Linked DNA regions of Oryzias latipes. The protein of the gene in region 1 purifies or fractionates together with the protein of each later gene. This does not show direct contact. Links are inferred from orthologs where the notes say so. Each region holds a gene or a part of one and is shown in the gene's direction. Other genes may lie near its edges.

Evidence for each region. Proteins that work in one complex are often made in the same cells at the same time.
Region 2: the proteins of signal transducer and activator of transcription 1-alpha/beta (region 1) and irf9 purify together in Homo sapiens (affinity purification with western blotting; 5 studies listed by BioGRID and IntAct, with this or other methods). This does not show direct contact. The link is inferred for Oryzias latipes from reciprocal best matches to the Homo sapiens genes STAT1 and IRF9.

Annotation. Positions count from the first base shown.
Region 1 is NC_019860.2:3,990,060-3,997,260, reverse strand, and holds the start of signal transducer and activator of transcription 1-alpha/beta, read left to right. Parts: upstream 1-3,038; 5' UTR 3,039-3,171; intron 3,172-4,491; exon of another isoform or gene 4,492-4,513; 5' UTR 4,514-4,532; coding exon 4,533-4,660; intron 4,661-4,743; coding exon 4,744-4,888; intron 4,889-4,962; coding exon 4,963-5,058; intron 5,059-5,137; coding exon 5,138-5,224; intron 5,225-5,315; coding exon 5,316-5,394; intron 5,395-5,465; coding exon 5,466-5,557; intron 5,558-5,625; coding exon 5,626-5,777; intron 5,778-5,853; coding exon 5,854-6,012; intron 6,013-6,093; coding exon 6,094-6,186; intron 6,187-6,269; coding exon 6,270-6,329; intron 6,330-6,410; coding exon 6,411-6,431; intron 6,432-7,201. UniProt on the Homo sapiens protein: Signal transducer and transcription activator that mediates cellular responses to interferons (IFNs), cytokine KITLG/SCF and other cytokines and other growth factors.
Region 2 is NC_019878.2:23,622,994-23,629,977, reverse strand, and holds irf9 (interferon regulatory factor 9), read left to right. Parts: upstream 1-2,264; 5' UTR 2,265-2,377; intron 2,378-2,695; 5' UTR 2,696-2,738; coding exon 2,739-2,795; intron 2,796-3,658; coding exon 3,659-3,781; intron 3,782-3,846; coding exon 3,847-4,027; intron 4,028-4,316; coding exon 4,317-4,444; intron 4,445-4,571; coding exon 4,572-4,656; intron 4,657-4,726; coding exon 4,727-4,786; intron 4,787-4,860; coding exon 4,861-5,250; intron 5,251-5,336; coding exon 5,337-5,452; intron 5,453-5,671; coding exon 5,672-5,839; 3' UTR 5,840-6,871; downstream 6,872-6,984. Other genes in the region: E3 ubiquitin-protein ligase RNF31, read left to right, coding at 1-11, 158-206, 274-370, 897-1,062, 1,140-1,187.

The DNA of each region.
Region 1 (7,201 bases):
AGCTCCGATCGATCATCTGCTAGTCTCACAATCACAGCAATCCACGTTGTCTTTCCGTTCAACACTTCTTCACTCATTTACGACACTTTGGAAAATGCTGAGAGTTCCCACATGAACCACGTATCGTCCTTTCTGTCCAAAAACCTCACAAACGTCCCAACAAAACACCACCGTCTTCTCAACACAAGCTAACGCTGCTAGCGGCCCTGTTTGCTCTCTTCTTCTGTCGTTTAATGGCGGTCATGGCGCTTTAACGCCACCTGCTGGTTGGAGCGTGTCTGTCGCTCACACAATGTCCATGGCGGCTTTAAAAAAATTCAATTTTTTTAAGTTTATCGGCAAATGATAGACAAACAGGCAATTTTCATAAAAGGAAATCTCGTGTACGAGCCTGTAGTAATCTCTGTTGGGATTGAAAGTGATCCCCAGCCTCCCCAGATCCGGTGATGCCTTTCGTGGTCATGTTTGGACTCTATGCAATGCTCCTCAAATATCCCAAAACACTGACCAACGCGTTGGAATTCATTCCAAAGATTTACTTGCTTTAGAAGGTGGTAAACTACCACAAAGGCTGCAGACCCTCAAAAATGACTTGATGATACATATGTAAAACTAAGTTGAAACAATACTATATAAATAGAATGAATACTATAGTCATCTTTCTTTAAATAATACCTCAAAAAATTGCACTACTCTGCATTTGTTCAGGCAGTATAGGCCCAAAGTACACACTGCCTTTTCTCATGTAATGCAGAGGTTTTGCTTGTTTTGACATTTTTTCTTAATTTATTTTTCTTACACCACTGTGAGTTTTTGTTTCCATTTGATAGTGGTTAATGTAAAACGGTTATATTCAAGAAAAAGTTCCTTAACAGTTTACAATATTAGTGTAATTTCATAAAAACTGCTCTTTCTGCTTTACCTGAGCATTAAAGCGACAATTATACCTTCAACCAGTTTTTTATGTAACTGTTATTGAGATATGATTAAATTCATTTAGACCTTGATATTTGTGTGAAGATGCGAAACATGTTCCCAAAAGGATGCAATGTCTGGTTAATGCTTTAAAAGTTTGTGCGAAAATGTGTCTTCTGTGCGTAAAACGTCGACATTTTTTCGTACATACACAATAAGTGTGACCAAAAAAGTACAATGCCTGGTCAATGGCTTTTAAAGAAAAAAAGAAGGTTGTGCGTAAATTTGTGTTTTGTACGCTCAAGTCGACATTAGTGTGTTGATAATTTAGATGTGTGCCTAAAAAGGTGCAATGTTTGTGTAAAATATATCTTTTGTGCGTAAACATTTTTTTATAATTTGTGTGTAAATATGTGCAATGTCTAGTTTATGCTTTAAAAAAGGGAAAATTATTGTGTTTTATGATTTAATAATAGATTTTTCTCTTGTTTTCTGAATTTTCTTTTTTGCAGTGATGGGTTTTCCTCTAATCAATGTTTCTTTAAATTATCCAGAAAACTGCTTTTTTGTTGTTGTTTTTCCTGGAAACAGCTAAAAAAAAAATCACCAGTCTTTCCTCAATATTTGAACTGTGAAAATAAATAGTTTATTACTTACTTTATTATGCACCTCAAGAAAGCTCCGAAAAGATATTAAAGATATTAACCAAAAATGAACTAATCTTGTAACCTTTTCAGTGACACTTACACATGGCTTGTGTGAACGTAGCATAAGAGAGGAACACCGATTTGACCACATGGCTGTTGAAGCCCAAATTGACTTCCCCGGGTTCTGATTCAGAGTCAGAAGGATCCTATAGTTGAAGGTTAGAATAATAAGACTTCACACCCTGAAACTTTGGTTCGCCTTTGCAAAGGGAGAATTCCAGCACAGCTGCTCACATCTGCTCCTCACACAGACTGTGCTAAAACTCTGCTTTCCCCTTGTCGGACAGCTCTTTTTATTGATCCACACATAATGTATGCATAACTTACATCCTGCTCAGTTATTTTTAACAAAGCCTCCAGGTTAACTCACCTTTCTCTTTTGACCTTTGTCACTCTTTATTTCCTCTTTTGATCTTTGTCTGAAGCTCCCTTAACCACATCCTGCACATCCTCCAGGTTCACATTCTAACCTTTGTCACCCTTCACTTGAAGTCACAAGTTATCATACACCTGTCTCATGTTTGCTTGACTCACATATAAAACATTAATATACTTTTAATTATAATTCCCACATGTCATAGTGGTGTCGGTGTTTGTTTTGTTGCTTCCACATTGGCCAAATACGACATCATACAACCCCTTCATCTTCACAAATTGGCAATTAGGATTAAGGACGGCGATAACTGCAATGGGAAAGGCGAGAATCTAGCAGTCAAGTATCATACATGGGAAAACCAGATTTAAGGACATGTTTTGGGGGGAAAAATGACACAAAATTGCGAGCTACGTAAAAAACAAACAACAAACAGACAGTTGAATAGACATTAAAACTAACTAAATTGGTTGGGTTAAAAACTAAACCTTAAATTCAAAAAGTCAATTATTAACTAAAATCAAAAACAAAACTACAAAATGTGTATGTCAAAAAATAGAAAAAATATTTGTGTATACATGTTATATCAATATTTATAAAACTAAAGCACTACTTTACACTCTAGACTATTTATAGTGTGATATTACATCATTTTCAAAGAGTAAATCAATAAAATACACTAAATGTTATACTTTTATTTAAGTTTCAGTTTTACCCCTTTCTCTTTCTCTGAAAACACGTGATCCCGTCCCGCTGTTCTACTACTTGCGTTCCCTCCCTCCGAAAAAACGATTCTTATCCTGTTTTTAGAACTCGTATGAGGATTTAGAGACTGTGTGCAACCTTCGGGGTCTTCGTAAACATAAATTAGTCGTAAAAATATAATCCTTCGGTCATTTTTGACCAAATAAAGTGATAATTCCTTCTGTTTAAGCGTTGTGAAAAGTTAGTGTTGTAACTCAAGGAACAGCCTCGTGGACTGTTTTCTGATTGGCTACAAAGAAGACGGAGGCGGGAAGGCGCCGGACGTTCTGAGCTGTGATTGGTCTGACCGTCCATCGACGGAAGCGGCGTGTCTCTGCCTGCCAGGCTCCTTTCCTCAACATTGGGAAAAGGAAAAACTGCTCAAATACAGCAGAATTGTCTGAAAACGGAACCAACCTTTAGCTGTGAAAGGTAAGTTTGGCACCGCGTTTGACCGACTGTGTGTCGCCATCTTTGTCTGCCCGTTTAGTTTAGTTGCAACAACAACCTGAACACGGCTAAAGCTAGTGATAAACTTTAGGAGAAAACTCCATAAAAAGCACATAAATAATGCAGTTGTGACCCTTTAAATCTTCACATGTTTACCAAGTAGCTGTCGTTTGTGCTAACGCTTTAACATATAGGCGCGACGCGGGACAAAACAAAAGATAATGAGAGAAAAATGCATAAAATAATAACAAGTTTGGTGTTTTTTGTAGTGCCGCCTTCATGAAAGCTCGTAATAACGGACTCTTCATCCTTGGCAACGTTTTTAACGACGAATTGCGTCACATTTTATGGTTATTACGCGTTGTAATGTGTCTGCAATTTACGAGTATGTAATAAACTATGCATAGACATTAAAGGATGACAATATAGAACAGTAGTGAAAGATTTAAGCTAAAGTAAACAATTTTAGTGACGTTACGTGAAGTGTCTGCAGCGGTGCCACCGTCAATAACTTTATTTAAACAAGTGGGTTAACAAATCTGTGGAAATTTTTTCTAAAAGTAGAACCTGAATGAAAGTTTTTGTTATAAATTATTATTATTTTCTACTGGACGTGAGTCGAGGAGGATTTATGGTGTGAGCTTTTATGATTTGCTATGTCGTAAACTGCAAGAAAAAAAGAAGAAAAAACCCCTGCTTTGACCTTTGACCCCAGAAATGACAGGATTGTCTGAATTTTTTGAATTATTCTATTGTTTATGTGGTTTGTGCAGCCTTCAAAGCCAAACAGGCATTTGTTTGTTTAAATGAAGATTCGGCCACCAAAATGGTGCGATTTCTTCCTTTTTTGAGGTTTCATTTTACGTTTTTTTGTTTTAAAGTCTTTAATGAAAAAAATGCGAATTAATGTAAAAGTGAAAATTTGAAAATGATTAAAAATAGGAACAGAAATGCTGCGAGTATTTCTGATTTACTTTGTCTTAACCTGCAAGCAAAGACCACACCTGCCTTAACCTTTGACTCTAGTAAAGACAGGATTGTCAGAATTCTTTGAAATATTTTCTGTATTTTTGTTTTTGGAGCACAACCACAAAGCAAAAGAAGTATTTGTGTATTTAAATAAAGTTTTGTGATGGCCTAGCCATCAAAATTGTGAAGTTTGGAGAAGTTTCTTCCTTTCTTTTAGTTATTTTTTCCCCCTTTCTTCCTTGGAAATATTTTTAGCAAATTCACATTGAAGTGAAAATTTGAACAGCGTAGTTAGCATCCATGCTAATTCCTGTTTCTTTGGTTTTCTATCAATGTTTTGGTAAATTGTTTGCAGTTCCTGACCTTCCCAGAAGATGGCGCAGTGGGGCCAGCTTCAGATGTTGGACTGTAAGTACCTGGAGCAGGTGGACCAGCTGTACGACGACTCCTTCCCCATGGACATCCGCCAGTACCTGAGCAAGTGGATCGAGAGCATCGACTGGTAATGGCGGGCAGACCGGCGCTCTCCAGCTTTGCGCCTCGGCCCACGCCGCTCACCTGTCCAACCCCTCCCTCCCCCTACAGGGACACGGTGGCGATGCAGGACTCGCTGGCCACCATTCGCTTCCACGACCTGCTGGCTCAGCTGGACGACCAGCACAGCCGCTTTGCGCTGGAGAACAACTTCCTGCTGCAGCACAACATCCGAAAAATCAAAAGGAACCTGCAGGTCCGAGTCCCGCCGACCCCTCCGACACCCGGAAGTCGCCGGCGCCACTTCACCGCTGTTCTCTCCCTTTCCAGGATCGGTTCCAGGAGGATCCGGTCCACATGGCCATGATTATCTCCAGGAACCTGAAAGAGGAGCAGAACATCCTGGCTAAGGCGAAGAGCATGGAGGTGAGGCGTCTTCGCAGACTGCGGCGCCGCTCTGTGGGCCGGCGTGACAAAGGGGTGACAGAGGCGTGTGTTTGTGTAGCAGGAGGGCGAGAGCACGGTGTCCGCCATGGTGGTGGAGAAGCAGAAGCTGGACAACAAAGTGAAGGAGATGAGGGACCGAGTCCAGGTGGGGTTCACACGCCACGCCGCCACTGCAGCCACTGCAGCTCCTGCAGCCGGCGGCGTCTCCTAACCCCGGGGGCTCTCGGTGTTTTCAGATGGTGGACGTGAACATCAAGAACGTGGAGGACCTGCAGGACGAGTACGACTTCAGGGTCAACTCCCTGAAGAATAGAGGTGAGGCGGCGTTCCGGCGTGGACGGGATCGGGAGCGCGGCCTCGCCTTTCATCCCGTCTTTTGTTGGCAGAGAACGAGATGAACGGCATGACAGCGAAGGAGCTGGAGAAGGAGAAGATGGGCATCGCCCGGATGGGCTTCGAGCTGAAATCCAAGCGTCAGGTGAGCCGAGGCGTCGCCGCTGAGAGCCGGCGGGGAGGCCTGGGGGCTCACCCGCTTCCTCCTTCCAGGACGCGGTGATCCAGCTGAGCGACCTCCTCACCGTCATCCACGCCCTCCTGACCGACCTGATCTCCGAGGAGCTGCCGGAGTGGAAGCAGCGGCAGCAGATCGCCTGCATCGGCGGCCCGCCAAACGCCTGCGTGGACCAGCTGCAGAACTGGTGAGAACCCGCCGAGGATCTCCTTCAGCGAGGCGTCCTCCTCCGCCACATCCTCTTCCTCCTCCTCGTCTCGCAGGTTCACGGCCGCGGCGGAGAGCCTCCAGCAGGTCCGCCAGCACCTGAAGAAGCTGCAGGAGTTGGAGCAGAAGTTCACGTACGACAACGACCCCATCACGCAGAAGAAAGCCTTCCTGGAGGCGCGAACTCTGGAGCTGCTCAAAAACCTTCTCTCCAAGTAGGCTCCTCCCCCTTTAGACGGTTTGGTGTTTTTTTTTTTGCAAAGCGCCGCGTCAGCATCTCCTCCTTCTGTGTGCAGCTCCCTGGTGGTGGAGCGGCAGCCGTGCATGCCCACCCACCCGCAGAGGCCGCTGGTGCTGAAGACCGGCGTCCAGTTCACCGTCAAACTACGGTAAGGCCGCTGCGTTCCGGGAAGCTGGGTGAGACAAACCCCCCTGGAAAGATACGGCTAAACCCCGCCTCCCTGTCACCCAGGTTTCTGGTGAAGCTGCAGGAGTTCAACTACCAGATCAAGGTCAAGGCCGTGTTCGACAAGTAAGACTTCTGACTCTCTGCCGCGTGGTGAAGTCGCTGCTTTTCACAGCCACTAACGCGTTTTCCTTTCTGATGCTTTAGAGATGTTACGGAGAAGAAAGGGTAAGTTCCAGACATTTACAGTCGCCCACAAACGCCCCATCAGAGGTTAGATCTGTTTTGTTGCATCTTCAATTAACTATTAACAGTATTTTTTAATCAGACCTTAGTTTCAACATGATGATTAAATGTAAACCTTTATTGACATTTTTATTTGACGTTTAAATTGTGTCCAGAGGCACCAATTCTAAATTTAAATATTAGCATTCAGGTTCTAAAACTTAGCAGTTATGGAACAATATTTCTCAAATGTAAAAACAATATTTTTTAATTTTGTTTTTGAAGACTTGTTACAACTTGTTAAATTAGGCTAACACATGTCAATTTAAACAAAAAAAGTCACTTATTAACAAATAAAAAAGTATATTTGTTTGAGTACACTGATTAAAGAATATATGTATTCTAATTTTTACTGTAAAACTCTATTCACAGTTTTTGTTCCAAGTTGAAATTGTGTTGTATTTTAAAGTCCACCAGGGGGCGCCAAATCCCCCACATTTATTTTTTTAAAATAATGCAGAAAAGAGGCAAGAAAATCACCTATTAATACTAAAGCAGAGGTTAACAGTAAAGGGAAAAAGAAAAAAATGGTTTTTAAATTTTAGAATTGTAGCAGGAGCTCGTCTAATTAGCCTGAAACAGTTAGCTACATATGCAAATATTTTATCAACACAATTCCTTTAACCACACATTGGTTTCGTTGTGTTTAATAAATATTTTTTTGTTTAAATATTATTTAAACAAAAATGTCTAAAATGTAGTTTACTATTAGT
Region 2 (6,984 bases), on another chromosome or scaffold:
CGCTGCTGCAGGTCAGCTTCTGTGTTTGCGAAGAGGAGAGGGCCGCTGACGCCGTCACGCTGACGCCGTCACGCTGACGCCGTCACGCTGACGCCGTCACGCTGACGCCGTCACGCTGACGCCGTCACGCTGACGTTTCTGTTTTTTTTGTGCTCAGAGGAACAGAGTCGGCTACAACACGGATCCGTCCAGCGGGGCTCAAACGGGTAAGTCTGTGTCCGCCCGCCGCTCCGCCGCCAAAGGCTGGAGGATTCTAAAGTGCTTCTGACGCAGACGCCTGCGGCGTGATGGAGCAGAAAGACGAGGGCGGGCAGCAGGTGGACTCTCCCTGCGGCGTCCAAACGCAGCCGGGTCAGGCGGGACTCTGCGAGTGAGTAAAACGTCTGCATTATGAGCTCTGCTTTAACGTATCGGAGGATTTCCTGATTCCAATCATGAGTCGGGGGCAGAGGAACAAGGTCGCATATGTGACGTAGAAACCACGAACTCTCAGCAATGGCGAGGGGAAGAGGGGGCGGGGTTACTAAGGGGGCCGACTCAGTGTCAGATTTGTCATGAACTCCTGCCGCTCTGCAGACACTATGAAAACAACAGCATTTATTTACATTTTGGCTAAAAACGGCTTCATCATGAATAAAAAAATGGTGGTGGGACTTGGCAGAAACGGCATTTTTGTTTTTATTTGAAATCACCGGTTAGCAGAAATGAAGCTTTTGATGAGAACACATTAATTCAGTTTAAATTACAAAGACTTTATATATTAGTGGGGATTTAAGCAGCTAAACAGTAAAGATCAAAAGGAGAAATTTCTCCTCAAAGGACGGGACATCAGCATCTCTGTGAGGCTTTTGAAGCTCCTCTGAAGCTGCGGGTTCTACTCCCTGTCTGCCCTGCAGCAAACACTACAGAGAGTACCTGGTGAGTCTGATCAACGCTCACTCCCTGGATCCTGCGCCGCTCTACCAAAGCCAGGAGCTGACCCGGGCCTGTGAGCGCTACCAGGTGGACACGCAGAGGGCAGAGGCGGAGGACGACAACGACTACCACGCCCGCCTGCTGAAGGTTAGTGGTGAGCTGCGGGACGGCCTAACCACGGCTGATACACCCCCCACTCATGCACGTCCTGCTGTGTCCCACAGAAACTGATGGAGGTTCCTCTGGGAGAGAAAGTTCCTCGAAAAACATGAAGAAACGCAGCGGAAGTGGCATCAGCTTGAGTTTTGTGTCTGTGATGGAGGATTGTCTCCCCTCACTGACGGCGTTTGCTCTTCTGTGGTCGTGTCTCGGCTTCATGCCACGAATCATTTTCATCTTTGAAGATCTGATCGTTCCGATTTGACTGTCTAACCCGCTCAATAAAAATCAGGTGGAACCATGATTGTAGTTTCTTTAAAATGTTGGATTGACCTGAATAAACCTGAAGTGAGATTATCCGTTGTGCGTCTGTGAGTTTTTGTGTTTCAGTCCAGGGGTTGAGGATCCCTGTTCTACACTTCCTTTTCATTCATTCCTCCACTTGTGCAAACCTGCCTGCAAGTCAACATCGTTTTTTTCTGGGCTGCATCTCTGCCTTATTTTCTCACCATGTGACAAAGAGTTAAAATTACCTACTGGCATTTATTACCCAGAATTCACTGTCAAACGGGAACATGCGTCATAACTCTTTTCTCCACACTGGTAAACAGGACATGACATCACACTTATTCAAGTTTGCTCTGTTGTGTGATTACCGTGTACCCTTAAATGGTTTATTATTATTTTAAAATATATTTTAAGGAAGTATAGAAGTTTTGAGTGTAATGTTTGGGTAATTACCCTGTGGGGAAGTTTTGGCTGGTTACACTGAGGGTAACAGAAGCGCAAAGGTTCAGAAAGGAAGCACTCATTTTTATTAATGTAGAATCCTAATGTCAGTTGATTTTTGTTCATCTTTTTTAGCTGTCATTTTTTTAGATTTGGCATTTTTGTGTCATTTTCTCCTGCACAGGGTTTGATTTTGACTGGATGTTGAACCATCCAGTCAGAAGATGTAGTTGGTTTGAATGACTGCTGATGAGATACCCCTGTTGGTATTGAAAATGTATTTTTCTAAAGGACAGATGAAGCAAATTAATTGAATAATGCTTTAATGTGGAGTCGACCCTTTTTTTATGTCTTTTTGTTTGCTTTTCTATCCCGAGTGTTTGTTTCTGTGTTTTGTTCTCCTGAACACAATAAACGGTGTACTTTGTCGCCCTCTAGCGGTCAGCGGTGGGTCGTTTCGGTAAAGTCACGTGGTTTCGGGGAAAAGGCTGTGTCCGGGGGCTGGACGGGGACTGACGGATTCGAACTTGAGAGCAACAGAAAGCGACGGCTTCACAGAGGAAACACCGCAGAGGTAACGAAACCTAATTCCGTTACTGTGGATTTGGGGAGCGGTGGGGGTGGGGTGTTAGGGCTCACTGTTATAAAAATAGATTAACTGAAAAGTTTCGGTCCGAAACATGCGAGATTATACGAGCTCGGCTTATCATCTTCTTCTGAAAAACATGGACCGCGCGCGCTCGCGCACACTTCTCGTTTTGCTGTTGTTCTGTCACTTGTTTATAAGTTTTTTTTTTTTTTTAGTTTGAGGTGTCATGATGAAAAAAAAAGATCTAGTTCAACTCAATGAATCAATAAATAAATAACCGCGTTTTCTTGTTTATGCCTACAGGTTACTTCCGCCTGTTAGGTAAAAAAACCCGTTTTATTAGGCCATGGTGGCGGTGAGGATGCGCTCCACGCGCAAGCTGCGCTCGTGGATCATCGAGCAGGTGAGTCTCCTCCAGGTGGGGTGGGGGTGGGGGGATAAAATGCCCTGTCCTAAAGTAAACACGGTATATGTTGATGCATTAAAACCTTCAGACAAAGGTCAGGGTAAACTTAACACGTCAACCTGGATTCTAATGTCAATCAATCTTGTGGATTACTGATGGTGTAAATATTGCAGCATATATAATCTCTGTGTGTTGCAGAGATACACCTTATTCATTCATATGAGCCACGGACACGTAGATTCTTTAAATGTTGCTCACAGTTTGATGTCATGTGTTCCAAAGTTTGGTTTTCACCACACCGACTGTATAGACGACGGACGCATGGAGGCGTGACGTCACCCACAGGGCATGCCTGACCTCCAGCTCTGGCGAAATGAGGCCAAATCCCTCGCCACTGCTTCCTGATACGGGCGCCGCCATGTTGAAACCAGTCGACAGGGATTGGTCCAGGTCGCTCTGAGTCCTCGTATCTATGGCGATGCCGACAGTAGTTGCCATAGATACCATAACCCAGAGTGACCTGCACCAATCACTGTCGACTGGTTTCAACATGGCGGCGCCCGGTACTGGAATGGTACTTCCTCCCCCCCCCCCCCCCCCCCCCTATGTTCCTTGGGAACATAAAGGGGGGGGGGGGGGGGTTGAGCCGTCCGTTCGTTTTTACGTCAATGGTTTGGGAAAGTTGTTGACCATCATCTTAAGAACATTGACTTTTTAACTTTGGGGGGTTCAGCAGATCGCTGCCTCTGGTGGTCTGCTGTGGAACTGCAACGGTCACTTCTGTGTTTGGATCACATTTAGGAGGAAAACTACAAAAAGATTCAAACCAGCGACCCTCTGATGTCTTCTGGGATCCACAGGTCAGCAGCGGGAAGTACCCGGGCGTCATGTGGGACGACGACGCCAAAACCATGTTCCGGATCCCCTGGAAACACGCCGGAAAGCAGGACTTTCGTAAAGACGAAGACGCCGCCATCTTTAAGGTGAGGATGTGGATCAGGACCGGAGCGATGGCGGCTGCTAAAGACTGACGGCTCCGTGTCTGCAGGCGTGGGCGGAGTTTAAGGGAAAGCTGACGGACGGCGGTGAGGACAACCCGGCTGGCTGGAAGACGCGCCTCCGCTGCGCTCTTAACAAGAGTCCGGAGTTCCAGGAGGTTCCGGAGCGAGCCCAGCTGGACATCTCGGAGCCCTACAAGGTCTACCGGCTCGTCCCCATCAGCGAGCAGGGTGGGGCCACTTTGCTTACCCCCCCCCAATTTGAACCATGAGGCTCTCTTTTTTTTTAGAGTCTCTATTACTTTTTCCTGGTTTCTTATCTAACCCCTTATCTTTCCTGCAGAAGTTTAAAAATTTGACATGAAATAGTTAATGAATCATTTAGTAATAGACGTCTACAGATTCAAAGAAATATCTAAGTTAGTCCGTGCATGCTGGTGCTCTCTGAGCGCGCTCTGTGGCGGTGTCCCGCCCCCACCCGCATGGCTAACGCGGCAGGTTTTTGTACTTCCCGCTCCAGGTTTGGTGATGCCCGAGAAGAAAAGCAAGGAAAAGGGCAGCAGGAAGCTGAAGAGGCGCGGCAGCGAGGCCCAGAGCGAACCCAGTCTGGTCAAACAGATGAAAACCGACGAGGCTCCGCCCCCACAGGCGAGTTAGGCGGGACGGTGCCGAAGCCTCCCGCTGAACATCCTTCAGGAAGTTGGGTTGGTTGGTTTGGTTGCTATCGGAAACGGCGGGGAGGTCATGAAGGCTTTCTTCCTCCTCATTCCAACAGCTGGAGGTGGAGCTTCTGCTGCAGAGCGCCATCCCGTCACCGATGGAGGAGCCCCCGCAGAGCAGCACCGTCCTGCAAACCGACGGTGAGTCTTTTCCCCCACTGAAGGATTCTGCTTGATGTTCCTCGCCGTAACGGGTTTGGCGTTTCTGCAGCTCTAGGGGAGATCCAGCTGGACGTGCGCATCGAGGAGAGCGTCTCCCCCCCTGCTCCAGGTAACGGGAGGCGGGATGACGTTCGTGAAGCCCCGCCCTCCCCGGACGGTGACGGGGATGTTTGCTGTCTGCAGGTCAGGACTCCATCGTGGTGGCGGTTCAGTATCTGGGGCAGGAGGTGGCCCGGCGGCAGATCCACGGCTCCGACGTCAGGATCCTGTACCAGCCGTCGTCCGCCCTGCCGCCGACGCCGGCCGCCCTGAACAAGAGCTTCCCGCGGATCCTGCTGCCGGAGCCACCCCCCACGCTGCCCGCCGGCCAGCAGCGCCAAGCCATTTTCACCCTGCTGCCCTTCATGGAGAGGGGGGTGGTGCTGACCTCCCAACCGCAGGGCGTTTACGGAAAGAGGTTCTGCCAGGGGCGGGTCTTTTGGACCGGGCCGCATGGCTGTGAAGCGGGTCTGCAGCGCATGGAGCGGAACACGGAGCCGGTGCTGCTCTTCAGTAAAGACATCTTCAGGCAGCGTGAGTCCCACTGTCCAATGGGGGGGAGGGGGGTTGGTGCTCATGTTTCTGTCTGCCTAACCCCCCCCTCCCTCCCGTCTGAGCAGAACTGGATCATTTCCGGACCAGCGGGGGCGAGCCCCCCCAGTGCAGCTTCACTCTGTGCTTTGGGGAGGAGCTGTCTCACACAGAGGACCCCAGCACCAAACTGATCACCGCCACGGTGAGGAGGTCCACTCAGACCCCCCCCCACACACACACACACACAGACAGAACCAGAACCATGCTGTTATTTCTGACCCATTTCACATTCTGTAGTATTTTTTAGATGAAGGGGTTGTCAGAACTGGCCTGCTTTTAGGCTCAGGTGTTGCTCCTGCTCCTCCTCCTCCTCCTCCTCCTCCTCCTCAGCATCCTCTCCATGTCTACACCTCCTCTGCAGGTTTCCATTCCCTGGGCGGAGGAGCAGGTCCAGAACGCCCTCTCCATCTTTCAGTCCATCTCCGTGCTCCAGACTCTGGCTAGTCAGTCTCCGCTGGGGGAGATCACCCTGAACCTGGTGTCGGTGCCGGCAGCAGCTCAGGAGCCACCAACATCTCCCTCCGTCTGACCGGGAGCGCCGCCGAGGGAGGGGGGGGACGAGCAACCAGAAGGTTTTGCTCTAAGGAGTTTTTGCACAAACATCTCCAGCACTTCTATTTCACCTTTACGCCAAGTTTGAACCTTCAACCCCAAAAATCAAGTGAACTGAAGGTTTTCAGATCAGGAAACACTAAGACTGAAGGAACGTTGTATACATGAACGTTCCTCAGAAGATGGAGGAAAAAAACAAGTTCAAACTTTTATTTTGGGATCTGGAGTGTGACTTCCTGCTTCCACATTCTCCTCAGAAGCTTAGAGCTTCACATTCCTGATGATCAGATGTTCTGGTCGGTAAATCCGTCCAATCGTCTTCTCTGTGAGATGAAGATGCTCACCGGACTTTCCTGAGTTTCATCCACGTGTTCCACTGCAAATGTTCGGGATTAAAGTCACGAACGTTCCCGTTTGAAATGTAAAGGCAGCAGAACTCATCCGTGGAGGAGGTGGATCCACGGAGGATCGAAGGTTTCCAAAGTGAAAAAGACGGATTGCAGCTTCATCACATCGTCTTCGTTTTCCAGCTGGAGCTGCAAACTCACCTGTCTGTGGAAGGGACACCTCCTGTTTGAAGGACAAGCTCTGTGCACGTGTGTGTGTGCACACGTTAACATGCACGTCTGTTTGTACGTCTATGTACAACTGCACGTGTGTGTACATATGCTTGAGTGAGTGCACGTTTACGTGTATTTGTTTGCACATATGTGTGCACGTTCATTTGTCTGTGAGTGTGTGCGCTTAACGTGTGCATGTCTATGTGCGTGTATATGTCTGGGTGTGTGCACATGTGTACTTGAATGTGTATCTGTGTGTGCGCAAATCTATGCGCAAGTGCACGTTTGTGTGTTTGCATATATGTGTGCACGTGTAGTTGTTTGTGTACGTCTGTGTGTTTGCACATTTTTGTGCGTGTATTTCTGTATGTGTGCGACCCTCTGTGTGTTTGTGCACATGCGCGTGTATTTGTCTTTGTGCGTGTGAAAAACCACAAGACAAGAGCTGCAGGGTTAAAAGTGACTTTAAGTTAGTTTGGTCGGGTGGGGGCGGGACTGGACCACAAGCAAACTCAGGAGAGGGGGGGGGTGGAAGACTGGGATGTACCAACAGGTCAGTCTG